Caenorhabditis elegans: one gene and its partners. The protein of the gene in region 2 interacts with the protein of the main gene of each other region in a pairwise test. Each region holds a gene or a part of one and is shown on either strand. Other genes may lie near its edges.

Region 1 (7,193 bases), on a different chromosome or scaffold from region 2:
AATTTATCATTTCTCTTCTTTATAAGTCTCTTTGGAATACTCCTCAACGCCTTCACAATTTCATCACGTATCCGTACATTTGCCTCACTGGCCCATGTTTTGATTGCATGGTTGAATGGTTGCAGTTGAAGATCGATTTCACTGCTTGAGAGATGCTTTTTTCCTGGAGAGAAAATATTTGAATTTGATGTTATTTTGAAATGGAAAAAAAACAACTCACGAGGTTCGACAACTTTTTTATGCATCAATACTCTAGTCTCATGGAACATCTTTTTTCGATAAATAACCATCATATAATTGAATCGAACCAGACGACGTTCTGCGCTGTCCAGCTCACATACAAGGCGGTCAAAATCGGTATCTCGGAGCTGAAAAAATATTACTTTAAAATTGTAAGACAAAATCTGAAGCTCACCAATTTGACAACACCCAGTGATGATCCCATTCGATACGTAAACCGATTCGATTTCTTTTTCAACGAATGGAATGTCATTTTGGAAAGCATTTCTCCGAATGTTTGCTTGTCGTCGGACATGTATTTTTGAGCTGGAAATGTTAGAGTTAACTTTTCAAAATTTTTTTCAAAAAGTGTACGCACTGAGCTCTTTCCTTCTCTTCGACTCGTTCATTTTCTGCCCAAGATTCGACATTTGCTTGATGGCTTCTGTCAATTTTGGATGATCTGTGTGAACAAGTGGGGTGAGCTAAAAAATTTAATGAGTTAGGAATTTCTTAAAGGCCATTTTTTCTAAAACCTTGACAATTTCATTCAGGAAAAGCGGATATTTGGTGGCTCTTTGGATGGGTCTCGAAACGGCAGTTGGTCCGTCAATAACAACGGATCCACTTTCTCGCATACGTTTAACAATATCCTGAAGTGCTGATTCCATAGTTTTCTCATGTTTCTGAAATTCATATACTTTTAATTTTAACAACAGGTAAAAGCTTACCGCCGAGTTGGTAAGAGCATTGATATGCTCGATATTTCTAAAGTAAAAACCATAAGTTTGAGCAAATGGTTTTCGAAGTTGTAGGAAGCATGCACCGATTAGTTGAGCATCTTGTGGTTTGACTGAAAACATTTTAAAAAAATAAAATACTGAAAACTGGAATTTTAGCACTCACTCTGCTCATTGGTGAGAAGTTGGACAAGATTAGCCGAGAGCTGTACAATTTGAGCACATCCATTTTTCAGAATAACCTTTTGCTTTTGATTCAGGAGAGGAGTTCCGTCTACAGCCTGGAAATTATTTTTGATTGAAATGTGATGATTGAATAAATAATAAACAACACACATCGGTGTTAAAGCCATTTTAAGATAGTACTTAATATATTTTCTCAACAGGAGAAAAAATTGCTAAATGGCGAAAATTTCTGAAAAGATCAATTGCTGAAAGTAAATGAAAGTAAACGCCCAGACGTATTAGTGTCATAGACTTTTCGTCAGACTTTAAATGAAAATTTTGAAACAGTATAAAAATTTTTGAAGATAAAATTGTCGATTGCTGAAATGCCGTGCACCCCTGAACTATACCTCTGTATAGGAATTAATATCACTGATGAACTGTAGTTCCGAGCTTATCAACTCCTCAATGATTCTGCATCGTTTATCCTCATCATTTGATGCTCCTTCGGTGGCGGAAATCAGTCCAATTTCGAAGTCACTGCCAGCAGACTGGATCGCAGGGTTACTTGGTTTTGGAGTATCTGTCATTCCAAACATGTCAGCCACGTTGCCAATATCATTGATAGGTGATTGAATAGAACTTTGCTTAGGAGGTGGTGGTCGGGCTGGAGCTGAAGTCTTTGCTAGCTGAACTGGAGCAATCCATTCTTCGCCGAAGGTTGCCCAATTTTGGGCAGGTTTTGATGCAGGCGCTGCCGGTGGAACTGCTTCAAAGGTTGCCCAATCGGTGTTTGTTCTTCCAGCGGGTGGTCTCCAATCGGATGAGGATTCAGCATTTGAGATGAAGGAGGAACGATTGTTGGAGCTACCAAACTGAAAAAAAATAATTGATTTAACTATAAAAACCTATTTTCTTCAAGTCTCACCGTAAAATCGCTGGTCCCTCCAGTTCCACGCCTCATAGCATTTGAAGATTGATTATCGTCATCTTCTTCATCCAGATAAACTTCTAAAAATCCTACAGGTACAATTCCAGTCTTCTCTGTATCTGGATCCTTGCACATAACCCATTCATCATTGACCATTCGTAGTACTCGAACAGTGTCTCCAGCATTCACAGTCAGCTCATCTCCTTGACGACCGGAAAACGCGTGCCGAACATTCGCAAATCCGATTCCATCATTCTCGGTGGTCGTGCTTCGTCGGTTATTTTGAAGCGATGTAGTGTCATCGTCAGGTAGATCAACGATGATTTGAACGAAAGAAGTGGGGAATATTCCGACACGAGCAGATCCTATCGATCCTTCAAGCCATTCTGCATCGATTCGACGACGTAAGCTGATGATTTCGTCGGCAGAGAAAGAGAGCTCGTTTTCAAATTCGCCTCTGGAAAATATATAGATAAATTAGAATATTGAGAAGATTGAAATGAATTTTGAAACTGAATAAAAACACATTATTTATCCTACTTTGACGTGACAATATTTCACAATAAGATACAGTAGTACTGGCCAAAAAAGTATCCATTTTAAATGAGTATAACTCGAGAACTAGGAATGTTATTGAAAAATGCTCAGCCAACAAAAAATTACCTATAACTAGTTCTACTTGTTTTCATAGACCCAAAACAGTCATGACAAAAAATAAAGCGTCAGATATTTTGTGAGTCAAGATTATTACTGCAACTCAAAAACCACATTTTTAATGGAAAGTTTGTAAAAATAAATTAATCTTCATGTAATATTTTATTTCTTGCACGTGCTAACTTTTTTCTTTACAACGGCCATGATAAAATCATATTTTAGTTATGTATTTTAACCAATTTAATCCAAAAATTTGTGAAAAAATCGTTTAAAAAGGCGTAACACTTTTCCCGTTTCAACTGCCATATATATTTTTTCCTGACTTTTTGGTTTTTGATAGAGATGTGTTTAATGCAAATATTTGGCATATTTGAAAAGTGATTTAAATATTGATTTACTGTTACGCACTTTCTATTAAAAATTTGGTTTTCGAGCACAATTTAGTGATGATAGCATTAAAATTGGTAAAAATTAGCGAAATTATCAACGAAAAAAAACTGAAAGTGGGCACCACGTTGGAAGACAAATTTTTTAAATGTGTTTTTGAATTTGAAAAAAAAATTTCAATTCATTAAACGTAAAAACTCACTGAAAATCATAAACAGCTCTAGCGTACGGCGACACTGCATAATTCGAAGTTGCCGCTTTCGGAGCAGTGGCAGGCGTCCGAAATCGGACATCAGCCTCACTGAAATCCGTGGTGAATGACGGCTTCATCGGACTTTCAGCAGAAACATGCAAATTGACCAAATGTGCCTCCGGTAACAATCCACGGCGTCCTATTTGAACAGCGTTGTCATTCACCAGGAATCCGTCCAGATAACCAGGATTTGAACGCGACGGTTTTGCTACTGAAAATGTGATTGATTGATAAAATTGGTTAGTTAACTGATTGGTTGCAAAAATTAGAGAAATAAATTGTTGGAAAAAGTATATACCAAAGATTGAAAATTCTGCAAATGAGAGATCATCGGAGCGGATAGAGGTGTAAGCTTCAATTGAGCAATACACCTGCTCGTCAGGTTGTCTGCAAGAATATAGAAACAGTCTCAGATAAAATGAAATGCATATTGTTATTTCACAAAATTTTGCCATGCTATTTTAAAGGCACACGGGTTCATTCAGATAGGTCTCGGCGCGCGAATAAGTTTGTGGTAGTCTTTTTTTCGTGTTAAAAATTATTTCAGTGCTCAAAACACAGAGAAAATTTGTATTAAAATTTTTTTCTGTTTCTCGGTCAGCTAAAAATCATTTAAGTTAAAAGGAAATCGATAATCTTAAATTATAGAAAAAGAGTGTATTTGTACTTTGAAAACTGATATTTAAAAACAAAGCGGTGAAATTCGCATAATAAACGAAGAAACAATCGCAAAATTTTTTCGCGCCGAGACCCATCTAAATAAATCCGTGCGCCTTTAAGAAGGAATTTCAAAATCTTGTGAAACGACAATCTTTTAGAGAGAAAGCAAAAACCTTTTCGGGTCGACGATGGGCAATGTAAGAACTCTGGGAACCCGACCGGAAACCCCTTCGATGGTTTGAATGTGACACCTAGAAATGTTAAGATTTTATAAATTGGCACTGCCACGTGGCACTGACCAATCCCCCTCCTCACGGACCACCTTAACAATCTGATCTTGGGCTACAGAACACCGCGTTTCGGGATCTTGTGTGGCATTTGAAATTCTTACCCACGAGAGGTGGGCCATACTGCAAAATTTTGGAAAATTTGAGAAAAAAGTGTTCAGACGCAGACGGAGTTAGTCAAGCTTTTTTTTTGAAAATTACATCAAAAATTCAATTAAATTTCCAATTTTCGAATAGAACACTAGTTCCTATTGCAAAATGTTTATAGTTTCTATGGTGTTAGATTGGATTTCGTCAGTGAGACGAGAAACTAAACAATATTTTTATAAAATAAACAATTAGTAAGCGATAGACCAGCCAGAGACCAATTTTGTGAAATTTTCTTTTTTTCAAAAATTCCCAATTTTTAGCTAAAAACCCCAGTTGTAAAAAAAGGATTATTTCAATGAAAAGCCATCACAATTGAAACATGAAAAGTGCGTGTTGGGATATGAAAAATCGATATTCTCATCGAGAAGAAGACGTGCTGCTGCGACGTCGCCCGCCCCACCAGCCGAGAAATCGAAAGATGCAAGTTCGCTCTATCGTTCAACTACTTGTCATGTTTTGAGGAGACGCAACGGGATGAGGAGGGGGCAAGACACAACAAACACGCACACAAAAAAAAGCACTTGTGTGCACACAAAATTGAGGGAATTAAATCGAGGAAGAAAATGCCGAAAAAAACTGCAAAAAAAAACTAATAATGAGGAACCGAAAATGTCATCAATGAATACGAGTTTTTTGAAGAAAAAGGCTTTAAAATTGATGTAAATATTTTTATTTTTTTCGTAAACTGAACCCTAAATTGATAAACGGAAAAACTGATAAAAAGTTATGATGAAAAAAACAAACAGGAAAAAGAATTGTTTTTGTTTACAAAATATAGTTTAAATTTTAAATTCTCTGAGTTCGAAGAGGACTTTTTTTCAAAATCGTTTTGTCGCGCGGTCAGCCTTTGGTTTTGAGCGTTTCTGAGAAAAATTTGAGTAGATCACACGTAGATCATATTATATCTTCTTCTAATTTCACATTTAAATGTGCATTTCTATAGATTTTCCCTAAAATTTTGTGTGATCTACACTTGATCTGCCCTAAATTTTCACAGAAACACTTAAAAACTTGTTTTGTTTTCTCGTGAATAATATTTTTCTAATCAAAATTTTAATATAAAGGAACCAAATAAACATGAGGATTTTCAATTAAACAAATCTTTTGAAACAGTAATTTTTCCCGGTGAACAAAATTGCAGTAACCAAGTTTAAAAATTCCATATTTTTTCACAATTTCCAAGTAAACAAAAACTAAATTTTTAAACAAATAATTTTTATTATAAGCACATAAAATATGAAATCCTGGCTACAATTGGTGGAATATTGTCATAGTTTCCTCCATTTTCGATCCAGCGGTTCGTTACAAGCCTGGAATTTAATTGCTTTTTATTTTAAAAATAAAAATCACTTACTTCAAAATTTTCCCATCACAACTATTCCCAGAATAAGTAGTTTCTTCTGTTGATACTGCTAGGAGGAGTACAGTTTTTGGGATGGGAAAAGTTCCATGGTCCGCAAAGGCATGGAGCACTAAAACTGCATCCCATGCAAGAAGATCAATATTTGTCAGGACTGCTGTTCTAGGTGTCATTTGTGATGCGAGAGCTAAAGTGGTAAGTGAAATAAATTTCAAGAGATTTTCGGAAAAATACATTTACAACTATATAACGTAAGTGTCAAAAATGCCCAAAATTAATGAACTTGGTGAAACAGTTAAAAAAAAACTAACCATTGTTCAATATTGCATGTAGCTCTCCTCTTTCAAGTTGATTTCCAATTTCAATTGGTAAATTATTTGAATTTGTCTCTGATTTAGAATTTTGAATTGCCTTGTTTAATTTTTCAGAAAACTCATTAGCTTTCAAACCAGCAATAACTATGACAAGCGGAGCATGTTCATCTGGATGTAAAAACATTTGTTCACCAATTAATCTCAAAAGATTCCGATTTTCTTTTGAAATATCTGAGAAATCCGAATTGACAAAGGATCTTACTGATTCTATGTAGTTTTGGTAGGGGTTTCGATCCTGTAAATAAGCAAATTTATTTGTCGAAAGGAACAAAGTTATGTGGAAAAATCAAACCTGGTTTGGTTCATTTTGAAGCATTGAAAAAGTTCCTTGAGATATAAAAAAAAGTGCAGAGAGCAAAAGAATCAGCAGTGTCATTATTAAATTATTCGAGATTTCCCACTTTCTTGAAAATGTCTTTGATAATGTTTTGATCATATATTTTCTGTCGAATTGAACGGCATCTGAAGTAGCATGTATATTGTTAATAGTTACATTTCTGGACTTTTAGGGGAAAAAACTCACGGCTTTTTTCGGCAATGCACAAATTGCAAATTACATTTCCACCAGCAAGAACAATTTCCGTGTTTGACCAAATTTTCAAAGTGCAGAATTGGCATTGCGAATAATCTGGAAATCGTTACATTTCTGAATAGAAAACTACGGATTACATTGTAGGTAGATTTTTAGATAGGCCTTACCTACAGCAGGCGTTACGTTTTTTGCTATCTTTTTTGTGTACATATTGCTACCTATTTTAGAATCTAATTTTGCATAAGTTTACAATTTTTTAATTTATTCTAAATTTGCCTAAAAAATTAAAGAAAACAAAATTTTTTGGCGTTCTACAAACTTTAAAAACTCACACTGAGTTTTCTTGTTGAATTCCATTCCCATCGTTCCACTATTTTTCCGCGGAGTCATCTGAGGATGATAATGATATTTAAAAAAAAGAAAAACATGCATAAATTAACAAATTAATAAGTATTTGGAACTTCAAACCACTTAAAGCCTT
Region 2 (10,210 bases):
AGTATTGTCTTACCATATTTGAAAGCTCACTTTAAGCTTGAAATTTGCACTTCCGGTAAACGCACAAAACTGGCTTATTTCAACATGATAATCCAAACTTTTTGATCTAAAATTAATATAGAAGTGTAGAAAATAAGTTGTTCTATCTGAAAATAAGATTTATTATTGTTAAAAAGCTTGAAAAAGTCATCAAAGAGTACTCGAAAGTTGCCGCTTGCAGAAAAAGTCCCGTTTAAAGTTTTTTTTCGGAAAACTTTCAGGCACTATTTGATGGCTTTTTCAAACTTTTCAACTAAAATAAATGTTATTTTCAGATAGAACAACCTATTTTATACATTTCTATATTAATTTTAGATCAAAAAATTTGGATCATCATGTTGAAATAAGCCAATTTTGTGCACTTGCCGAAAAAAAAAAGACTAATAGAGCATACTCACAATGAAATATTTCCAGATGTGCACTCCGAGTAACATCTCAAAAAACGAAGAACCTCGTCCAGCAGTCTGCAAGACGCTTCACAGACCGTCCCAAGCATTTGTGCCAGCTTGATATAATTGCACGTCGAGACCATTTTATTCTCGGCTCTCGAATTGGATTTGATCGTTGTACGGAATTATATAAAGGAAGAGATATTGATAGACTATTGGGAACAACCAGTGACCTCCTGGATAATCTACATGTTGAGCACGTTAATCTGGATATAAGACGTCGAGATGAAGAAGTGGAGATTCACAAAATTGTCACAATGCTCCTGAGAAAAAAGGCCAATGTGTTCAAAACTCAGAGATATGAACAGTTTTGTGAATTTTTGTATGCATTATTCGGTTTTTATATTTTCTCATCTCTTTTCCTCTCTATCTTCGTCCGTTTCTCATTTCTTTATCCCATTTTTTTGATTTTGTTAATTGTAATTTTTTCTATTGTTTACTTGTGGAAATATTAGAATTACTTGATATCTAACATTGAATGAATATTTTTAATAGTGAATTCGTAGTCAGATATGTTAGTTTTTTTTTTGCATTCTGAATGTATAAATTTATGATCTAACTAATAAGGGGTGGACGGCATCTTAATGGGCAAATTGCAATTGCCGGTCTGCCAATTTGCCAAAAATTTTAATTTCAGGCAATTTGCTGATTTGCCGGAAATTACAATTTCAGGCAATTTACCGATTTGCCAGAAATGTTCATTTCCGGCAATTTGTCGATTTGCCGGAAATTTTCATTTCAGGCAATTTACCGATTTGCCAGAAATGTTCATTTCCGGCAATTTGTCGATTTGCCAGAAATTTTCATTTCAGGCAACTTGCCAATTTGCTGGAAATTTTCATTTCAGACAATTTACCGATTTGGCAGAAATGTTCATTTCCGGCAATTCGCCGATTTGCCAGAAATTTTCATTTCAGGCAACTTGCCAATTTGGCGGAAATTTTGATTTTTGGTAAATTGCCGATTTGCAAATTTCCAAAAAAAAAGTGCAAAACCACAATTTGCCAAAAATTTTCGACCATTGCAGTTTTTCCGGCAAATCCGATACTTTGACAATTTGCCGGTTTGCCGGAAGTTTTTCTTTGCCTGCCTTTTTTAGCAGACGTTCACAAAATCAGAATTCAAAAAAAAAAACTGAATCATGCAATTAATCATGATGAAAAGTAACCAAAAACAACACAAAAAGCCGAAATCGAATCAAAAAGTGAATGCATCATTGTCCAAACATATAAAACATTCACTTTGAAGTATATTTTACGATTTTCCGTTTTCGGAACGTCACTTTTCTTGCCAATAGGCGGGGTTGCCAAGGTAGTCTCACATTTTTGCAATTTTCTTAAAGATGCTTTTTGGAAGACATTTTATTCAAAAAAAAAATAGAAGTTAAAGATGTTTTCTATGTATAGCTCTTTTCTTTTTTGGTTACTGTTTAGGCAATTTACCGGTTTGCCGTTTTGCCGGAAATTTTTATTATTGGCAAATTGCCGATTTGCCGGAAATTTTGATATTTGACAAATTGCCGATTTGACGGAAATTTTGATATTTGGCAAATTGCCGATTTGCCGAAAATTTTGATATTTTGCAAATTGCCGATTTGCCGGAAGTTTTGATTTTCGGCGAATTGCCGATTAGCTGATTTGCCGGTTATTTTGATTTTTTGGCAAATTTCCGGTTTGCCTAGTTGCCGGAAAATTTGGTTTTTGGCAATTTGCCGATTTGCCTATTTGCCGGAAATTTTGATTTTTGGCAATTTGCCGGTTTGCCTATTTGCCGGAACTTCTCATTTCCGTCGATTTGCCGGTCTGCCGGAAGTTTTCAATTCTCACAATATGCCAAAAATTTTCGGCAAATTCGGTAAACTGGCAATGTGCCGATTTGTCGTTTTGCCGGACATTTTCAATTCAGGCAATTTGCCGGTTCGCCGCTTTGCCGGATATTTCATTTTTCAGAATGCTTTTAGACCTGAATTTGGTAATCAATACACTGAAAAATTTTATTTTTTTTTGATTTTTTTTTAAATTTAGGTTACTGTAGCCTCATTTCTGTGTGAAAACCGACACATTCCCATAAATTCATGGAAAACCCAGTTTTCAGGGATAAGCAGTGCTTCTGAATCTAAATTTCACAGTCAAAGCTGTTACTCTTCGAGGCAAAAAATCTTAGTGTCGGCACTTCATTTGAAAAATCTCAAGTACCTGTCACTCTCACATGTTTGACCCATTTTTTCGCCTACAGGAAAAACCTTCAAAGTAGCCTTATCCCTCGTTTTCCCTCTATTTTCTAATAATTTTTTTTTGTCCGTTTACACATGTTCTGGCGGTGGGCTGTCGAAAAAACAAATAAAACAGTCATTGAAACTATCTTTTTTTTCTGTGTAAATAGTAGTTTTTTGGGATTAAACTCACTTTTTTTAAAAAGATTTCCTGTATTATTTTGTTGTAAAAATTCACACGGGGTTCTGGCCTACCTCATTGCATTTTTCGCGCTCCATTGACAATCGCCCGCCGGACAACGCATGGGAAAGTCATGTACTCCACACGGACAACTTCATTTAGTTTTACAACTAAAACCGAGCCGCGACGCGACACGCAACGCGCCGTAAATCTACCCCAGATATGGCCGAGCTAAAATGGCCTAGTTCGGCAAACTCTTCCATTTCAGTTTATGAGGGACGTCGGAAAAAAACTTGAAAAACTACTTTTTTTTGAAATTTTTTTCAAATTCAGAACTATTTATGTTGACTAAAAGCTCTATATATTCCATAACAAAAAAAAAATGCAATTTCCCAAAAAAAAATTCGAAAAAAAAAACATTTATGTTTACTAAAAATCTCAGCGCTCACAGGAGCCCCACATATTTTTTTTGGATTTTTTTTCAATTCAAAATGAAATTTTTGCACACATATATGCTGCACACGGTGACTACTAGTATACACATATACATATATAAAGAAGAACCAACAGATTTTCGGAATTAGCGGCACCCGGGGCGGAGAGGATGATCCTACTCTCGGCGGGCTCGCCGAGCCCACTGGATGTTTCTCTCTCTCTTTGAGCACTTTTGGAATGTATGCATGTTCGTTTGAAATTACTTTTTATGTAGTTTTATGTTATAAGTTTTATTAGAAAATGTATGAAAATTCATTGAAATTGGGTTTGTTTTTATTTTTAAAAAATTTGCAAACAAATGTTTTTTAAATTTTTTTTCTGGAATTTCTAAGATCTCTACGAATCTGTTTTCTAAAGATATTTTAACATCTAAATTATTTATTTATTTATTTTTCCACAATAGTTTTTAAAATAGATTTTCTATATTTAAAATCTTTTTTGAAATTTCGAAAAAAATTTCCAATAATTAATTTTTTTAAAAAATTTAGAAAAAAACCGATTTTCAGAAGTCTTCTCCTTTTTAAAAAAATATATATCATGTACTTTTTTCTCAATTTTTTTTTGGCATGTGAATATATATGAAATTCGAAACTTGATGCCCTCCTGTCTTCCACTATTTCCTCCCACTTTCTTGACATTTTCCCCCCAATTTTCTTCTTATGCGGTCTTTTTTATGCAAAAAATTTGTACGTTTATTTATTTATTTTTTTTTTTTTATTTTTTTTCAGGAGCTTATAGTTTTTTTGAAAAAGATGAACCGTGGATATGATAGTTATAACCGTGAGTTTTTTTAAAAATTAAAAATTTCAAAATTTCAAAATTTGACTTAAAACTAATTGTAAGTACTTTCAGGTTTCTCCAAAATTTGTCAAAAAACACTGTAAAATATGCTGAAAAAAATTTTAAAAAATCGAAATTGTTGAAAATAGTTTTTATATACAAATTGGACAAAAAATTCAAAACAGAAAAAAATTGGAAACGACTGAAATTTATTTTTTCAAAAGTACAGAAAATTCTATTAAACATTTTATTGTAAAAGGCTAAAAGTAAGATCTTTTTCGCAATTTAAAATTATATGCATATTTTTTAAAAATCTGAAACTTCGATTTTTTACAAAATTTTAGAAAAATATTCCCATATTTATTCCTAATACAGTCCAAATATTTTTTTATGCCCCTAATTTTCAGGATCCCGATCTACATCATCTAGACCCCTGGATCGAGAGCCCTACCATGCTGTATCAGAGCTGTACACCAAGGAAATAACCCATACTCCAATTGGTCCAGCTTCAGACCTTCCTCCAGAAATTTTGGATATTCTTAAAGAAAATCCCCGAGCAACACCACAGTATACACCTCCGTTGATTAGGCAGTAGGTTTTTTAAAAATGTTTCCAAAAATGTGAGAACTTTGACAGCTTATATCTCAATTCTCCTAATTTGTATAAAAAATTGACAACTGATAAAATGTTTATCAACTATTTTTCTATATTTTTGTAGTTTACCATTACTCATTATCTTCAAAAAGAACTGAGATACGAGCTGTCAAAGTTGAGAAACAAAGAAACGAAAATCGGGGCAAAAAAATTTCCGAATTCATAGAACATTTGGAATTTTACCAAAACTTTGACTCAAATTTTTGAAAAATCTGAAAATTTTTGGAGTGTTGGAATACTATTAAAATCCAAAATTTGAAACAAATTTCCAGCCGCGAAAACACATGGACCCCAGAAAACTACCCAATTGTTCGTGTCCCTTCTGCACAATTCACAGATGTTATGACTGAACTGTACGACTATCACGAAGTAGAGGTAAGATTTATAAACTACAAACTACAAACTATAAACTACAAACTATAAACTACAACTACAAACTACAAACTACAAACTATAAACTACAAACTACCAACTACAAACAGCAAACTACAAACTACAATCTACAAAACTCTACCACACGGTCAAATTTTTTAAAGCTTTTTTTTTGTTAGTAAAATAAAGGACAGTCATTAGATGGCTGAAAAAAATTGGGCAAAAATAAATATTTGCCTAAATTTATTGAAAACGGGTAATTCTTGCGGATATATGCTTAATTCAGAAAATCTAGGTTTATCTTATCAAAACTATTGAAAAGTGGCAAAATTGGGCAATTTTTGGCAAAAATTCACAATTTTGAAACTCCTCTAACATGGTTAATTTTGTAGTTAGAGGACTCAAAATTGATCTCAGAACCCTAAAAATTGTCCTTTTTCAGTTATCAGTAGTTTTGTTTAAATTCGTTTTTTAAAAAATTTTTTGCCCAAAAAAGGACAGTCAAACGAACAAAAAGGACAGGCTGAAAAAAATTGGGCAAAAATAAAATATTGCCTAATTGTGTTGAAAACGGGAAATTCATATATGCCGAATTCAGAAAATCTAGGTTTAACCCATCAAAAACTTTTAAAAAGTGGCAAAACTGAACAATTTATGGTAAAAAATCACAACTCTCAAAGTTTCGTTGCTGACTGTAGTGTAGATTAAACTATACAAACTACAAACTACAAACAACAAACTACAAACTACAAGTAAGACAGAAATATGTTATATTACAGAAATACACACACCGATCGGTCACCCCAGACTACGAGCCACTACGGAAAGAGCCGGAGCTCAAGGAGCAAAAATGTATGTTTATTCAGTTTTTTCCTCTTTAACTGCTAAATTTCAGTGCCAACCTACCAGGTGATCCCTCCGACACCCGAAAAGAACACGCCACGTCACCAGCACCATTCGGGTATCACACTGTCCCCATCAGATTCTTCAAGGACACTCGGAGCCCTGCCAAAGAAGCCTCCAATGTACGAAGAGTATTTGCAAATGCAGAAGAAGGACGAAAATCGGAATATTCCTAGACAAGTCTCCTCGGCGGATTCCCAAAGGACGATTCGGAATAACAACGAGCTCAGTCACTTGAGACACATCGATTCCTCGTCGTCTTCGGAAGCTTCCGAGCCAGCGAAGGATCTTGATGATCGTGAACGTTATGTGTACACACATGATGTCTACGTGGATTCAACTACGGGGCGCCCGTTCACACCGGGGAGAGAGGATGTTCGGGAGAAGAAGAATTGCGATAAGTTGAAGATTAATGTGAGTCCTAATTTTGAGGCACCACGGTTTCAAGATCTGGTGGGATTTCGGATCTATTATTTCCGGATCTACGATTTCCGGATCTATGATTTCCGGATCTACAATTTCCGGATCTATGATTTCCGGATCTACGATTTCCGGATCTACGATTTCCGGATCTATGATTTCCGAGTCTACGATTTCCGGATCTACGGTGGTAGATCCGGAAAACGTAGATCCGGAATCCCACCATATCTTGAAACCGTGGTGCCTCTTAATTTTTTAAAAATGGTTTTCAAAAAAGAACAAACTTCCAGGTCTACTTCAAGCCTCCACACCCTCCAGTAGAAATTACATACAAGTTGGACGAAATTGAAATTGAGAAGAACGAAAATATGTGAGTCACCTGTCCTTGTTGACTAAAAACTTCAAAAAAAAACCTCCAATTTCAGTGTAGTAACGAAGCTCCGCCCATCCCGCTCCGACACTATATTATCGCGTAGTGTTTCCACAAGTCCGTCGTCAGTCACTGATAATATTCCAAAAACTTCAACTTCAAGAATTCCCTCAAGCGAAAACCCGAAAACGATGGAGCACACCACAACCAGCCGCCGCTTCCCAACTCAAACCTCTATTCTCAGAAAAGAGCACGAAATTGTGCAAGTGCCACTTCATCGGAGCCAATCGCTCAGGCAATCTAGAATTTCGGAGCATAGTAAACGGTTTGTTTGGTTTCGGAAAATTTTAAACATTTTTGAGATAGAATAAGATTTTGGCATTGCCGAAATTACAGTAATCCATTAGTTTTTCGTTTTTCTACAGTACTCTTACAGTACAATAGAGCCACAGTAGTCATACAACATCCCTACAGTACCCCTACAGTAATTATATAGTAACCACATTGTGCCCCGTTATTATCAAGACAGTAATCCTACAGTATCACTACAGTACTCTAAAACCACAGTAATCCTCTAGCACTTCAACAGTACCCCTTACAGTATCCCTACAGTAATCCTACAGTACTCCTACCGTCCCCCTACCGTACCCCTAAAGTAATTATACAGTAACCCTAATGTACCCCTTTATTATCCCGACAGTAATCCATTAGTACCCCTACAGTACTCTAAAACCACAGTAATCATACATCACTCCTACAGTACCCCTAAAGTTATTGTACAGTAACCCTACCATACCCCTTTATTATTCCGACAGTAATCCTACGGTACCCCTACAGTGACCCTACAGTGTCACTACAGTACTCTAAAACCATAGTAGACACTCAGCACCTCTACAGTATCCTACAGTACCTTTACAGTTATTTTACAGTAACCCTACCATGCCCCTTTATTATTTCGACAGTAATCCTACAGTACCCCTACAGTGGCCCTACAGTATCACTATATTACTCTAAAACCACAGTGATCCTAAAGCATCCCCACAGTACTCCTACAGTACCCCTACAGTGACCCTACCATAACCCTTTATTATCCCGACAGTACCCCTAGAGTATCACTGCAGTACTCGAAAGCCACAGTAATCCTACAATATCACTACAGTAATCTGAAGCCACAGTTATCCTACAGTACCCCTTACAGTACCCCTACTTCATTAGTACCCCATACAGTACCCCTACAGTACCCCTACAGTACCCCTACAGTATCCCTACAGTTCCCTTACAGTACCCCTACAGTCTCACTACAGTACTATACAGCCACAGTAATCCTACAGTACCCATTACAGCACCACTTCCAAAATATATTCAGTTCCAGATCCCTCGGCAAAACCACCTCTACAGTGAGCACAGAGCGTCCAATTCCGATCCACGTAGTGGAGGAGACGTCATCAATCGATATGGATGTCGTTTTTCCAAAAATGCCACATCATCAAACCGTGACAAACGTCAGAGTTCCTTCGAGCAGAGGATCAGCAATATCCAGAGCTCACAGTGAGCATCGCAGGTCGATTGACAGGAGGTAAAAAGTGATATGTAGCACATTTTTAATCATAATTTTTTTTGCAGCGAACCACGTCACCACCATCGTCATCATGTTCATTCCGAGACCCCTGAACTTCCATATACTAGGTGACAAAATATCTGGGCACACATTTGTATAGAAAGACTTTTCAGAGGGATCTCCAAGACTCCGAGTGTTCGAGAATACAATGTGAAGCGGGAAGGTCAGAGATCGCCAAGCAGGTCTCATAGATCTGAAAGGTACGGTCGATCCGTTCTTAGCTTCGGTTTCTGCTTAGGCGTAGGCCTCGGTTTAGGCTTAGGCTTAGGATAAGGCTCAGGCTTAGTCTCAGGCTTAGTCTTAGGCTTTGGCATAGGCTTGGGCTTGGGCTTAGGATGAGGCTTAGGTTTTGGTTTTGGCTTAGGCTTAGGCTTAGGCTTCGGTTTAAGCTTAGATTTAGGCTCTGGCTCAGGCTTAACATAAACTTTCGATTAGTATACTTTTTGTTGATGCCATCCACCAAGTATTTACGGGGTTCCCTAGTTAGAGTTAGGCTCACGCTTAGGCACAGGCTTAGGATTAGGCCTAGGCGAGCTACTAGTTCATACAATTTCTCGGTTTTTTTTTGCAGAAGCCCATCAGAGGTCCGTATCCCGGTGACAACTACACATACTCGGTAGGCTTTGAGAAATTTCTAAAAATTAAAAAAAAAATTTTCAGCCCGATTGCAAAACGCCAAAGCCCGGAGGAGCTGGATTATGGAAGGTGATTGAAACTGCCGAGCTCAGTTGCTGATAAAATTATCGAAAATTCCAGATTCGCGGATAAAAGTCAGCAGAACCGATTTCCGGGGGATCATCAGGCTAGGGAGGAGGACTTACCGTATACCAGGTAATTTTTTTTTAACTCGGGGAGCTTTCGGCAAACCTCGATAATTTTTCAGGGGAATTTCCAAGACTCCTAGCAATCAGGATTCCAGGTCGGAGAGGTAGGGTAGATTTCCAAAAATTTAAAAAAAAAACCAAATTTTTCTAGAACTCCGTGCTCGGATATTCACATTCCTTACAATAACCCTGAAAAAGAGAGGTACAGTAGCAAAACCTACCGTAACCCTACAGTAATCCAAATTTCAGAGCCTATCAGCAATCCGAGCGGTCGTCTTATAGATCCCACAAATCGGTGACCCCATCAGAAAAGTCGTAAGTTTTTTTTTATACAGTAGTCCTATAGTAGTAAATCCAGGTTACCCCGCAATTCGGAGACCCCCGAGCTACATTACACCCGAGGAATCTCAAAAACGCCAAGCGACAGGGTGGAGAAGTCAAGGTACCTATCACGTGGTGTCAGTACCCCACATACCCCATCTGAAGTGCACATTCCATACAATAATCCAGAGAAAGAACGGTAAATTATACCTGAAAATTGAAGTTTTATCGATTTTTTTGCAGAGCCTACCAACAATCGCACCGCCCGTCTTCGCCAAAGAGACGCCCGTCTGGAAGGTGAGAAAATCGATATTTTTCGATGAATTAATCGATAATTTCAAAGAAAAATCGATATTTTCTAAAATTTTTCTGATTCCGGCCACGGGGTTCTGGCCTTCCTCATTGAATTTTTCGCGCTCTATTGACAATCATTTAGTTTTAAAACTAAAATCGAGCCGCGACGCAACACGCAACGCGCCGTAAATCTACCCCAGATATGCCCCAGCCAAATTGGCCTAGTTCGGAAAACTCTTCCATTTCAATTTATGAGGGAAGCTAGAAATCCCATTAAT
Region 3 (6,310 bases), 4.7 Mb from region 2:
GCAAATCAGTTAAACAGTGCCCGCCAATTGGTGAAAGGAAGAGCTTGCGATCGTCTGAAGCAAATTGCCGATCAAATGGAACAATTACATATGGCAGCTCGTGCAGTTCTCGAAGATGCTCAACGCGATGAGCATTTGCATAACGTTCCCTGTAACATGGAGAAGCAACCTGGCCGAATTTACCATTTGTACCAGAAGCAAGGAAGCATGAACAAATATTTCTCTATGTTGGCTCCTAACGAGTGGGGATACCAAGAGAAGAAAGAAGAATATCTTGGATCATATCGGTTGGAATATGACAGAAGCTGGACTCCTGTAGGAGAAATGGATCGTAAAGACGAAGAAGTCGCTCGTCTTCAGCAACTTCTTCAACGGGAAGGACCGGTCGCCTTACGTGGGAATCCTAATTTTTAAGAAGCATATGTAACATTCGTAAAAACGCATAGATTTTCAATTCAATTCCAATAACCGGGTTGTTTCTTGTGTGCCTGATACTTTCATGAATATTGTGATAATTCGAAATTATTTGTTATCTTATAGGTTACCACCCTACTCTTAATTTTTTATCTGGAAAAATCACACTACTCATTCTGTGAAATAATTTTGTAGATGAGTTTAACAACAATTATTTTTGACAATGGTGGCCATAATATGAAGATAGGTACGATAGACTCAGAGTCCCCTAGGTTTGTTTCTAATAAGAAAAATATCAATATAATTTAAATATTTTCAGATTAGTTCCAAACAGTATTGTGAAAGCGAAACATGAAAAGAAGCGGGTTTTTGTTGCACACGAGCAAGAAGAATGTTCGGACAAGTTTTCGCTATTCTATGTGCGACCAATTGAAAGAGGATATGTGGTGAATTGGGATACACAACAGCAAATCTGGGAGAAAACGTTCGGATCTATGGATGTGGAGGCGTCTACTTCTCGAATTGCACTCACAGATAATAACTATCTAATCCCAGCTCTTCCTGATGTCTCTAGTGAAATATTGTTTGATTATTTCGGCTTCACAGAGGTACACAAAACGTCTGCTTCGACTTTGGTGGCAAAACATTCAAATAAAATCAACAACGAAAAGTGTGCAGTTGTTGTGGATTCCGGGTTTTCATGGACTACGGTAGCTTCATTTGTGAATGGAATGCTTATTCAGGATAGTGTTATAAGGTTGGAAAGTGTTTTCAAACTACAATTAGCTTTATTTTTAAGGATCGATGTTGGTGGAAAAGCGTTAACAAATAAATTGAAGGACTGGGTATCTTACCGACAATTGAATGTTAGCGAAGAAACATACGTTATCAACGAATGTAAAGAGGATCTTTGCTTCGTCTCACAAAATTTTGATGAGAGCATGAAAGAGGCTAGGTAGGTATAAAAATGAAGAATACTAATTATATTGTTTTTATTCAGGAATCGATTTCAAGAAAATACAACAATGAAACGATATATTATGCCGGATTTCCACTCGACATTCCGAGGTGTAGTGAAAGACGTTAAAGAGCCACACGATCCACAAATTCCTTCAATTCATTTGGGAGTTGAGAGATTCGCCATTCCGGAAATCTTATTCAAGTTAGTAATTTCGGCAAAAAGTATAAACTATTTTATCTGTTGCAGTCCCTCGGATATTGATATTGATCAATGTGGTGTCGCAGAAGCTGTTATCGAGAGTATTTGTCAATGTCCAGAAGCATTACGGCCTGCTCTGGCAGAAAATATCATCGTGATTGGCGGATCGTCGTGCTTCCCAGGATTTCGTGAACGCCTGGAACGAGAAGTTCGATCAATGCTGCCAGCAGAATATGGATTGAATGTTTCAAATGACGTAATAAACCCACAAACTCATTCCTGGCATTGTGGTCAAGAGCTTCTCACTGCTTCTAAAGTTCCATGGATCAACCGAAAAGATTGGGACGAACGAGGAGACTCGTTGGAGTTCTCTAACTTTTTCCAGACTCTTGTGCAATCCGATGAACTGAAGGGAACTCGTAATTTCGATGATCAGAGGGAGAAATCCCCAAAGGAAGATGAAGATTTCTGAACTGATCTCTTATCACTTTAAAATAAACATGTTTTATATATATATATGCCAAAATATTTTTTTTTGAGATCAGAGGTTTATTTTCCTTTGTTGGACTTATTTTTTTTCATGTGCTGTTCATTTTTTAAAAATCAATATTTCAGATGTCAGCAGGGCCGATAGTGGAAAGAAACCAAGATGCAACAATTTACGTTGGTGGATTAGACGAGAAGGTGTCAGAGTCCATCCTATGGGAACTTATGGTACAAGCAGGACCTGTTGTCAGTGTCAATATGCCGAAAGATCGAGTAACTGCCAATCATCAAGGTTTCGGATTTGTGGAGTTCATGGGAGAAGAAGATGCAGATTATGCAATCAAAATTTTAAACATGATCAAATTATACGGAAAGCCAATTAAAGTAAGCTATCAAATATGTTTAGTTTATTATTTAAAAAAATAATATTCAGGTGAACAAAGCATCGGCTCATGAAAAGAATATGGATGTTGGTGCAAATATTTTTGTTGGAAATCTGGATCCAGAAGTCGATGAGAAATTGCTATACGATACGTTCAGTGCTTTTGGAGTTATTCTTCAAGTTCCAAAAATCATGAGAGATGTTGATTCGGGAACGTCTAAAGGATTCGCGTTCATCAACTTCGCTTCATTCGAAGCTTCAGATACAGCATTAGAAGCTATGAACGGCCAATTTCTTTGCAATCGAGCTATCACCGTCTCATACGCTTTCAAGAGAGATTCAAAAGGAGAAAGACACGGAACAGCAGCGGAGCGTATGCTGGCTGCACAAAATCCACTGTTTCCAAAAGACCGGCCACATCAAGTATTTTCTGACGTTCCACTTGGTGTTCCAGCTAACACACCTTTGGCCATGCCAGGAGTTCATGCTGCTATTGCTGCTCATGCAACAGGACGCCCAGGCTATCAACCACCACCATTGATGGGAATGGCTCAATCTGGATATCAAGGACAATATCCACCAGTACCACCACCTCCACCAAGTGTGACACCAATGCCACCTCCAATGCCGCCAACGCCAGGAATGACTCCTCGTCCACCACCACCACCATCATCTGGAATGTGGCCGCCACCACCACCGCCTCCACCAGGAAGAACTCCAGGACCACCAGGTATGCCTGGTATGCCTCCACCACCACCACCATCACGATTTGGTCCTCCAGGAATGGGTGGAATGCCGCCGCCACCTCCACCAGGGATGAGGTATATATTTTTGTTCTAAGTTGAAAATATCGTTCATGTTCACCGTTCGAACTTACACAATTTTTCTTTTCAGATATCCGGGAGGCATGCCGCCACCACCACCGCCGCGATATCCTTCTGCTGGACCAGGAATGTATCCACCTCCACCACCAAGTCGTCCTCCAGCACCACCATCTGGTCATGGAATGATCCCACCTCCACCACCTCCATCATAATTACTCGATCGGATTGGAATACCTTAATCTTTATTTTCAGAAACTTTTGTTTTTCACGAAAAGATCTTCATTTCAGCTGTTCTAAACTTTTACATTTTAAATTATTTCGTTTTATTCTCATTCCATAAACCAATTTCTATTTGATGTCAATTCAACTTCAATCATATTCCACAACCATCATCTCCTCCTCTCTCTTATCAATCTCATCACAATCACACCTTTCTTTTCCAATTACCACTTCGATACGTCAAGTCACGTTCTTCAGCGGTTTTTTGTTGCATTTTAATGTTCTCACACAATCTGTACGCCTTTTTCCACTATTTAAGACATCATTGATGTTCGCTGGAGCGGCAAATCCTATGAACTATAGGCAAGTTCAACGCCTAATAGAGACGTAGAGTGTAAGTGAGGTTTCCGGGAGAATTCGTCTCGCACCTTCCTCTCATTGATTCTATCAACGAACGGAACGAGTTAAACTAAAAAAAAAAGTGTAGAGAAATAGAGAAAGAAGGGGAGAGAAAGAACATGGACAATGACTGTATTCAACCGGAGGACACACCAAAACTAATTAGTCACCCGAAAACATCACCTACAATCATCACATTGCTTCTTCGCACTTTTTCCAGAAATATTATTCCAGTATCATTTTGATTTTCTCCAATTCAGTGTTTTTGTGTTGTAGAATTTTCAGTTTATTATTTTTGGAGTTCCGAGAGTATCTTCAGTTCAAATTTTGCACATTTATCTCCTTATTTAAATGAAATTGCTACTACATTCCTAGAATTTATGAACAAATGGAATAATTTTTATTAGGAATTTCTCGAATTATGATTCATTCTTCCATTTTCCATTCATAACAATCGTTCGTTTTTCTTGCATTTGAAATTTCATTCGTCAGTAAAAATTCTACAAAACAACATTGTTTCAAATAACCTGTTATTTATATAATTTTTAGGATGAGTTTATGAGCTCTAGAGGAAGAAACCAACTTTGCCCGTTTCCAATTATATAATTACAGTACTCAACTTTTCCAATTGTTCGTCATATACATATTTCCACACCAGAACTCATTTATATATATTTTGCAACGCATCAATGTTTAGCTTTCAAAAATTTTATGATCTAGAGAAGTTAAAAAATCACAAAATGTCGTAGTTAAAAATTGAGGACGTTTTATATACTGTTACAAAGTGTTACAAAGTAGCAATAATTCAGTTTTCATGTACTTCTTATAATTTTGGAAGTTCACTAAAAAAAAGTTACACGAGTTTTATGTTCAATCTATATCTTAACTATTCTTATTTGAACACTGTAGGCTCAAAATTTCAATTTTTCTGACAGTCTGGCATTTTGCCAAATCTCTGACTAAATATTTTGGAAAATCCACAATGCCGTGTTTTATTCAGATATATTGTCTTATTGACCTGCTGTGACTATATTTTGACAAAACTCTTGAGTTTCTAATTATACTAATGATTAGTGGTAACCCTACATATGTTATCTGAAAACCCCACTGATTCTGTAAAACGAATGTCCTTTTGATAGGTATTTCTTTTTGTTTCTGATACAATATTATATTATACTAGGGAGAGAGACTTAGACTGCCAAAAAATATTCCTTATCATTATAAACCTTTGTGCCTTGATTGCCTTCGAGCAAAAAAAACCGCCGACACTTAATGATTGACACTTATTCGCCTAATCTGTTCAATTCGTTTCACTTTCTTGCAACTTTTCATTGCCTTCCTGCTGCTTACTTTAAAACTTACAGATCAAAATGGGTAACATGCGGAGGCTGTTGATCTTTGCTGTTCTAGTAATATGTAAGGATAAATAATTACATTTTTAATAAAGAAAAATTACAAAAAGATCAAGGAAATTTGAACTGTTCATTACGATTACAGTAGATTAGAAACTTTCTCGGATGTTTCATGTTTCTTTTGTTGTGTATTTTGGATTTTGAACCATTTTATTTTATCTTAATTTTATGTTTAACTAGTCAGATATTCCATTAATTATATTCAAAAAAAAAACAGAGTGGCATAATTAATTAAATTCATGTTAACGATTAAAATGTTTATATTTACAGTAACCGTCATATCCAATTCAAAATCGAGTTACAAATATGATGGTTCATTGTTCTCAAGTAAAGAATTGGATTATGATGAGACAGACACTAAAGCAATGGGATCCGTTTTTTCAAGATATATGTCAGATTCCGATGCTCAGCTAATTCTTGATCTCGACTTTTTCCGTCATTTTTTCAATTACGCAGAAGCTTATAGAGATGGAGCTGAAGAGGGAAATCTTGAATTAATGAAGTATGCTGTTGAAATGGTTGAAAAATTAAAATCATTTGATATATCAATGGGTTAGTTTATAATGACTATATCTTTAACAAAAAACATTTAGCTTGCGTTGGAGACATGATGCACTTGGCATGGACTGGAGTAGAATATGCAACTCATGTTGAAGAGCATAAAAACTGCTCAGATTGCAAATGTACACCACTTTTCCAACAAAAGAAAAGTGAACGTCACTGGATTTTTAATGTTTTTGATGCAATGGGAAAGGTTCCAGCTGGTATTATGAGTGGAAATAACTTATGGGTGGGCTCATGGAGCACTTGTAGAAAGATTGACGTTGTCAAGAATGCTCAAGGGTTAGTTTGATTAGATGTAAAAAATAATTAAATGCGATTACAGACAAAAGTGGAAAGGTCAATATTGTTTGGCAACAATTGATGCATATGAGAGAGACAATCCACTAGTTTATTTTGGAAATATGATGTCTGGACCACCAGATAAACATTGCTAGTGAGTTAGAGGGACTAC
Region 4 (7,464 bases), on a different chromosome or scaffold from region 2:
TGCATCACTCGAATTTTGCATATAACTTGCTGGCTGTTGGAATGTGGATGTAATTTGTGGAGCTCCAACAGCTGAAATGAAAAAGGGTTTTTAAAGAAAAAAAACTTGTGTTGAGCTAGAAAATCGAAAAAAAAACATCTTTAAAAACTAAATTTAAACATTCTAATTTTAGGGTAAAATTGAGGATATTTTAAAGGATTTTTTTCAGGTTTTTGTTTGGATTCTAGCATACTTATAAATATTAGTTTTTATAGGGCCTAAATCTGGGGTCTAAAACTAACAACCTAAGCTAAATAGCCCACTCTTGTTCTTGTATAGAGAACTGACTTAATACTTTACAATTACAAAAAATAAATATAAATATAGTAAACATAAAATATAATTTACTACTCCAGAAAAATATATAATAAATTCAATACAGAAGCATAGTGTATACCCGAAAAAAGTAAAGACACACATATCAATCATAAATTAGTTACAACTTGAGCAGTGTTTTTTCGAGCAAAAAAAAAGTTTACTTAAAAAGTTTAATTTATAGAATTTGCAACCCGTGCTCACCTGAATTCATCAGCATCTCCTGTGGATCGTTTCTCGGCGAAATGTGTGTGGAGGAGGTTCCGCTTGACGTCGACGCGCCGCTGTCCACCTCATCGGCGAATCTGACTCGGTATTTGGCCTTCGTGGCCGTTGCAGGTGCTTGCTGTTGGGGTTGCAGTGGTAGCCGTCGGGGTGTGGTGCTGTAGCTGGCAATCTTGCGCGCCGAGTTTGGCGTGAGGTAGTCGGCCGATGAGTGACTACGGTAGTTCTGATATGCTCCAGGGGGGAGATCTGAAAAATGTGGAAGGTGACTACGAAGATGTAAGGATTTGATAACAAAACAGTACCGCAGTTCAAAAATTTTTTATTGACAATTTCATCCACTAAAAACTATGCAAATATTGCGCATGTATCGTGTTAAAAATCGACATGGGCCGTCCAAATTTTTAGCAACACTTCTGAGTTTTTTTTGTAAATAATTGAACCGTTTATAGAAACTCTTGCCCTCTCACGGGAAGTTAAGGCTGTCCCAATACAGTTTGATCTACAAAAAATGCGGGATTTTTTCCCTAAAAATTTGTATGTGTCAAAATGTGTCAGCACGCTCTTGGGCCATGCCAAATCAGATGAGATGTCTGCGTCTCACCTTCCGCATTTTCTGTAGATCAAAGCGAAATGAGACTTTCTGACTCCACTAGCAATGTAACTTTAATCTTCCTTTTTGCCTCAACATTAGAAATACCAATACCATTATCTCACCTGGTATCCTCCTCTGGGAGTTCACTTGCTGTCCGTTGACAGTACCGTTAAACCCTGTTCCACCAAACCCTGCAGCTGCTCTCGGTGAACCTTGATCACAATCTGCACTTATGCCACTGTCCGTGTCGCTGTCTTGTGGGGTGAGATACCCTGCAAATGAAAAAAAATATGAAAGTGCAATAACCTCTGCTATTTCATTTACTTTACTTTTACTTCTCCACCTCCTCTCTCTTTTCTATTTCTCACGGCCTTAAACCAAAAAAAAAGGGTCTGTTTGGGGGGAAACGCGATATGTCCGCATTATAAATGAGATAAAATGAAAATGAAAAAAATGGAAGTAGGAGCTGGAGCGGTAGTAACCGCCGACAAAAAAATGAAAATGTATAGGCGAAAAGAAACTGCAAAAAGTAGCAGCAGGAGAGGAAGAAGAAGTGGAACGTGACGTTTTTTGGTGGCGGCAGCAACAAGGGGATCAGGAGAGGAAGAACAATGAGTTTAAAGCATGTTTGGACAGAATTATTGATGACATCTACCGAAGAGTAGAGAGCAGGGGAGAAGAAAGAGGACGGCAAAACGAGAGTGCAACACCCCATCCCTCACTAAAAAAAAGTTTTGGCACATTTTTCTTTCGTTTTTTTTTTTTCGTCCACTCCCTCGTGCCTGTTAAGGGTTGAAGTGGTTCGGTTCGACCACACGGAGAAGTGAGGCATGCTCTCGAGGAGCACTGGGAATGCCTATATCTTTGAAAGTCTGAAGTCTGAAGAAAAACTGAAGCTCTTTGAAGCCGATCTGAAAATCTTTTGCATCATTTTCAAATGGTGTCAGGCTGTCCTAATACAGTTTGATCTACAAAATCGGCGGGAATTTTTTTTTCAGAAAAATGTGACGTCAGCACACATGGTTAGCCATACGAAATCAGGGGAAAAGTTCTCCCGCATTTTTTGAAGATCAAACCAACATGGGACACTTTGACCCCACGTGGTTTTTTTTATCAAACAAATCAGTGAAAAAATTGTTTTGCATTTCTAAAATGGTTGACTGTAAGTATATTTTTAAAGCAATTTTAAAGACATCGGAAGTAGAAAAAAAGTGCTGAACATTTCAGATTTACTTTTTTCAGCTCAATATGCTTCAGTTGAGCTTCATACTTTTTCAGTATACTGTTCAAAAATTATATTTCAAATCAAAAAGGTTCCAATCAAAATTCCAAGATCAAGCTCAAGTAAACACTGGTAGCGCTACGATTCTTTGCCCTCTTCAGCAACCAATGATTATTTTCAGAATGGGCTCTCCGTTTACACACTCAAAAAAAACGCGCAAATATTCTGCATCATGGGCGCTGTCTGAATGCTCTTCCTCAAAATGCAATAAGCAGGAATGGGTTGCGGGCAAAACGCAGAACGCACTTTTGTTGGGGTTTGTTGGACCAAGATCAGCACATGGTGCCGAGCTAGAAGTGTAAAAGTTCTGAATGTGTAGTACTGGGCTCTTCGGGAGCAAAAATGAAAAAGGCACACACACATACACAGACATAGTCTCGCTTGAAAAGGTCCACGAACACAGAGACTTGGCATTTGAGATGGGTTACAAAAAAAAACGCTGACCGCGCGCCGCGTCACTTGCTCACTTTCCGTTTTTCTTATTTTGAAAAGCTTGTCGTTTTGGTGTGTATGGCATGTTACACTGAAACTGAGAAAACTTGACGCTTTGTGGTGAGCGACAAAAAAGGGAGAATTACTTTGCAATTGAAAGCCAGAGATCAAATATCTGTTAGATTCGCTTCAAAATTTTGGAATACAAACGCACAATTTAGCAGTTAAATTCAATTGCTCCAAAAAAAATTTTTTCTACACTAACGTTTTCAACACTAACTAAGAATTACTCAAGACTTACCTAACGTTTTACCTAATTTGAAAACATTTATTTCACAGAGACGATTGAAAAGTTTTAAATAGCGGAAATGCGCTCCTAAAATTTTAATAGAGTTTGTTTTGTTTCAATGACTTTCAGATCTAAATTTTCCGAAATTAGTTCTTGCAGACTATTAATGGCCACTGGAGTTTTGGGGAATAGGCAAAAACGGGTATTATTTAAACATGGAGTAGACACTCATTATGATCTAAAAAGACCAAATATCTTAATAATACAATTCAAAAAATTTCAGGCTTTTCATAATTTCCGGTTAAACTTTGGCAAATTTTCAGAATTTTGAAAAATAAGAGCTTTTGAAGAAATCCAAAGCAATTTCACATGTTCCGGGCCCTACAATGTTTTAATCCAAATAATTACTGTATAAAAAATGTAGAAACATTTTTTTGGTCGACTTCCAAAATTATGATTGGCAAAAACTGAGTAATTGTCACTTTTTGACAATAAATAAGTTTCATTATGATATGTGGTCATTTTGGGACCAAAGGAGTGGTTTTTAACAACTTTCCCACTGGCGCTACTCCACTTTTAAAGAAAAATAGCGAAAAAATTTTGCAATTTTTTAAAACATTCCGTTAAAAAATACCAAACATTTTACCGAAAAAAATATAATGTTCATAATTTTTTAATATGTTACTTTGAAAATTCTGCAAAGACCGATTTCGGAGCATATTCACAATTCTAAACAAAAATAAAAAAAAAAAAACTCCAGAAGTAGTTACGTGTTTAAAATATCTTTCATATTATGAATATCTGTATCCATAAACTGTGGCTGAACTGAACTCATAGAAACATGTAAAAAACATAATTGTGCAAAAATGGCTACACCACTGCATTCGAAAAAGTACGTTTTTGAAAAATTCATAATTTGCCTCTTTTAGCTCGGAAATAATTCATGATGAACGAATACTAAATGACTAGAGCAAAAAACAGGAAAAAAATTGTTCAAACGGTTAAAAGAAATTATGTATTACATAGTAAATGTTCCAAAAAAAACGTGAATAAATATTTGTAACCTGTTTTTTAAGCAACAAGCGCCAAAAACATTTTCCAGTCGATGCACCATGTTCGAAATCTAGTATTCCACATTTATTTTAGGCATATGGTAGGTAATAACTTTGCTCTTACAAAAAATATTAGAAACAAATCACAGAAAAAAAACATTTTTTGCGAAAAAGACACGTATTCAAAAAAAGGTACGTCTATTGAAAATTCATAATTTTTCCCTTTTCTATTTGTAGATGACGAGCGAATACTGAATGACTGGTGCAAAAAAGAAGAAATTAATTTTGAATTTGGAAAAAAAAGTGAGAAATAATTATGACGTACCTCCTTGTTGATAAAACTGGCCACGCCCCAAATTTCGAGGTTTTGGTGGGGGCATTGGAGCCTGCCGATTTCCAGAAGACATTGTGATTTGTGTCTCTGAAAATTGTAAGTTTATAAGAGAACAATTTGAAAAAAAAGATAACATATCAGAGGTAAAGAAACAAATGATAACATCAAAGACCTGATGGGATATAATCGGCCTAGTTAAGGTATGTTCTCAATTTTTGGGGGCTGCGGAAAAGTAGGGGAAAAAAAGAAGGCGAAAAAAAAGCGAGATGGACGTAAAGATGTGAAAAGTGACACTGTTAATTGGATATATATGTAAAGTGGACACAATCGTGACTGGCACTGGTGCACGTACTGACGTCTTGGAAGTTTTAGGTGTGTTTTGATCAAGAGTAATTAAATATATAAGGGGGCAAATAGCTCAGTCGGTAGTGGTGGCCGCTAGCAATCTGGAGGTCACGAGTTCAAGTCCGGCCTCACTTCCTAGGTTCACCCAGCCCCTATTGGGAAGTGGAGCAATCCAAGACTGGATTATCGGCCACAGTCCCCGGCTCGGACGTGGCTTAAATTACAACCCAGTGGGATCACCACCAGGCAGTGTACCTGAGTCCCAGATCCGCAGTGCATAGCACTTGGAGAACGGATCGTCCTTTGACCCTTTAATCTTTAAATAGTGAAAAATAGCTACCCTCGTATTGTTAGAAATATCGGATTTTACTATGATGAGTAAGGAAACTGATTGAAAGAGCATCGGAAAAAAAGATTAAGAGCACGCTTTCAAAAATACAGCTTTCTTCCAAAATAACCAAACAATGCACCTAAAACTTTCTATTAAAAAAAAACAAAAAACAACTTGTGTCCCCATTGACAATTCAATGTTTGAACACCAACTTCGGCATTCGAACTTGAAGCAAAAAAAAAACAGTTTTTCTTCACTACTATCTCTAGAATGCACACCATTCGTGGGCACACCGACCTAATAGAACTGTCCCCAGGGACGGATTGATCACGAAAAGGAAAAGGTCATACAACACACAATGCAGTCGTTCAGAACAATGTGATAACAAGAAAAAAAATAGAAGAGTGGGTGTACAGAAGAAAAGCAAGGAATGTTCTGGAAAAGTGAAAAAAAACGAACTTGAATACAGTGTAAACATTACATAGAACTAGGATTTTTTGGCGAAAACATAGAAATGGCGAGATTGTTCAGAAGAGACCCCAAAAGCTTTTGATGATAACTATTAGGACCTCCATGGAAGCGGCCGACACTTTTCGGGTTCCGCGCAGCACTAAGCAGGAGGCGCGGCTCGCGGCACGAGGCAGACGTCGCCTGCATGAAAGCCCTAATATTTATGTTTAATAAAACCACTGGTATTGCAAACTTTTTCGTGATTGTCATTGGGTTTTAATTTTAAATTGAGGGTAATGACTATAAAGAGGACTATGAAAAATTTAACTTCAAAATTCTAAACTTCAAAAACTACCGCAATACCAAAAATGTGACTCACTTATGATCAGTATCTGAACCGCCAAACCCATTTGCATTATTGCTTGGTAATCTAACACCCGAATGGCGGTAGACACACACACACGTCAAAAGTTAGGGTTCCATCCCGTCCCCCTCTCGTTAAACACATGTTTAATCTCGCCAGATGGTTGTGATGCCTTAGTGAATGATGTACTTACTCTTAAGCGACGAACTTCTCTTTTTGTGCGAGCCGAAGCAGCAGGATGTACGTGATGTATCAGGAAACACATAAATCTATCGCGAAAAAATGGGGAGAAAAAGAAAGAAGAAGAATACTGAAAATAGCGAACAAAACTAAAGATTGATAATTTATGCAACGGGTAATAGATAATGGGTAAAAAAATACTTTTCAATTTGTCGGAAAACTTGTAATAAATGCGTTCCGATTAACAGAACTAATAGTAAGATGTTAAATTATTTCGCCACAAAAAAAATCTGATAGGACCATCTATGCACGTCATACCATTTTATTTTTCAAATAGTATTTCAAAAGCCGAGAAAAAAATAGGGGCTCACTATAGTTATCGTATCATAAAGCTTGATTTCTTCGAAAAAGACCGGAAACCTGCTAGTCCCCTCTGATTGTTAGTGACGCGTTTCATGATGCACTCCCTCTTCTCCGAGACTTTTCTCTTTTCAAATGTTTGTACTGATTTGAATTGAATTGCCATTCCATATCAGGAATAGCTGAGAGGGAGTTTGGGTGTGGTGGGCTCGGTAAGTTTTGAACTGGCTGGATTGTTTTATTGAACTAGGAACTATTAGCCATTTGAAAACAGTCAACGATTTTTCTATAAAAAAGTATAACATTTGTTCAAGTATATCTTTTTAGTTTGCTGTACTCATTGAATTTAGTAAAAAACAGAAGAAAAGCATCAGAACATTTTCAGAGAAACTGAAATAAAGTTTATATATAAGTAGGGTATATGGATTCTAAATTGGCATGTGATCAGCAAGATCTAAAAAATTTAAATTGAAAATTCCAAATCCTCCAAAAAATTTCTACAGTTTAAAATTACCTTAAAACACCAAACTATGAACTATTCTAAAATTAACTCCGTCATTTCTTTCTGTAAAGGAAAGTTAAAAGTGGAGTAGCGCCAGTGGGGAAAGTATTAAAAACTACTCATATGGTGCCCGGAAGATTGAATGTCATAATAAAACGTTTCAAAAATTTTTTTGAAAATTTTTCATTTACTGTCAAAAAGTGGCAATTACTCAGTGTTTGCCACTGATAATTTTGGAAATCGACCAAAAAAAATTAGTTTTTTCTGCATTTTTGATACTGTAATTTTGTTTTAATTATTTGTATTAAAACATTGTAGGGGTCGGATCATGCGACAATGCTTTGGATTTCCTCAAAAGTTCATATTTTT

Evidence for each region.
Region 1: the proteins of cnp-2 (region 2) and dnbp-1 interact in a two-hybrid assay, tested with the Caenorhabditis elegans proteins (one large-scale study listed by BioGRID).
Region 3: the proteins of cnp-2 (region 2) and sap-49 interact in a two-hybrid assay, tested with the Caenorhabditis elegans proteins (one large-scale study listed by BioGRID).
Region 4: the proteins of cnp-2 (region 2) and C09G1.4 interact in a two-hybrid assay, tested with the Caenorhabditis elegans proteins (one large-scale study listed by BioGRID).

The regions. Positions count from the first base shown.
Region 1 is NC_003282.8:13,975,422-13,982,614, forward strand, and holds the start of dnbp-1 (SH3 domain-containing GRB2-like protein), read right to left. Parts: upstream 4,427-7,193; 5' UTR 4,419-4,426; coding exon 4,309-4,418; intron 4,261-4,308; coding exon 4,183-4,260; intron 4,109-4,182; exon of another isoform or gene 4,088-4,108; intron 4,003-4,087; exon of another isoform or gene 3,982-4,002; intron 3,737-3,981; coding exon 3,648-3,736; intron 3,561-3,647; coding exon 3,299-3,560; intron 3,175-3,298; exon of another isoform or gene 3,154-3,174; intron 3,068-3,153; exon of another isoform or gene 3,047-3,067; intron 2,513-3,046; coding exon 2,053-2,512; intron 2,000-2,052; coding exon 1,535-1,999; intron 1,427-1,534; exon of another isoform or gene 1,406-1,426; intron 1,241-1,405; coding exon 1,126-1,240; intron 1,073-1,125; coding exon 951-1,072; intron 906-950; coding exon 756-905; intron 705-755; coding exon 599-704; intron 547-598; coding exon 416-546; intron 369-415; coding exon 221-368; intron 164-220; coding exon 1-163. Other genes in the region: gei-18 (GEX Interacting protein), read right to left, coding at 5,666-5,756, 5,801-5,993, 6,118-6,415, 6,473-6,642, 6,704-6,808, 7,045-7,102.
Region 2 is NC_003280.10:12,756,693-12,766,902, forward strand, and holds the start of cnp-2 (Calcineurin-interacting protein 2), read left to right. Parts: upstream 1-4,104; 5' UTR 4,105-4,128; coding exon 4,129-4,156; intron 4,157-4,563; coding exon 4,564-4,747; intron 4,748-5,082; coding exon 5,083-5,185; intron 5,186-5,961; coding exon 5,962-6,034; intron 6,035-6,077; coding exon 6,078-6,499; intron 6,500-6,795; coding exon 6,796-6,875; intron 6,876-6,930; coding exon 6,931-7,200; intron 7,201-8,247; coding exon 8,248-8,451; intron 8,452-8,498; coding exon 8,499-8,561; intron 8,562-8,606; coding exon 8,607-8,693; intron 8,694-9,064; coding exon 9,065-9,109; intron 9,110-9,153; coding exon 9,154-9,198; intron 9,199-9,249; coding exon 9,250-9,324; intron 9,325-9,376; coding exon 9,377-9,421; intron 9,422-9,468; coding exon 9,469-9,519; intron 9,520-9,566; coding exon 9,567-9,632; intron 9,633-9,675; coding exon 9,676-9,837; intron 9,838-9,881; coding exon 9,882-9,935; intron 9,936-10,210. Other genes in the region: Y46G5A.8 (F-box domain-containing protein), read left to right, coding at 454-943.
Region 3 is NC_003280.10:8,031,646-8,037,955, reverse strand, and holds sap-49 (Splicing factor 3B subunit 4), read left to right. Parts: upstream 1-2,188; coding exon 2,189-2,443; intron 2,444-2,492; coding exon 2,493-3,262; intron 3,263-3,335; coding exon 3,336-3,477; 3' UTR 3,478-3,706; downstream 3,707-6,310. Other genes in the region: C08B11.9 (uncharacterized protein), read left to right, coding at 1-414; arp-6 (Actin-like protein C08B11.6), read left to right, coding at 610-686, 734-1,171, 1,214-1,369, 1,415-1,576, 1,622-2,045; nrf-6 (Nose resistant to fluoxetine protein 6), read left to right, coding at 5,254-5,299, 5,566-5,847, 5,889-6,138, 6,182-6,292. UniProt on the Caenorhabditis elegans protein: Subunit of the splicing factor SF3B required for 'A' complex assembly formed by the stable binding of U2 snRNP to the branchpoint sequence (BPS) in pre-mRNA.
Region 4 is NC_003284.9:15,992,286-15,999,749, forward strand, and holds the start of C09G1.4 (uncharacterized protein), read right to left. Parts: upstream 4,653-7,464; 5' UTR 4,637-4,652; coding exon 4,555-4,636; intron 2,154-4,554; exon of another isoform or gene 1,930-2,153; intron 1,447-1,929; coding exon 1,297-1,446; intron 829-1,296; coding exon 559-828; intron 72-558; coding exon 1-71.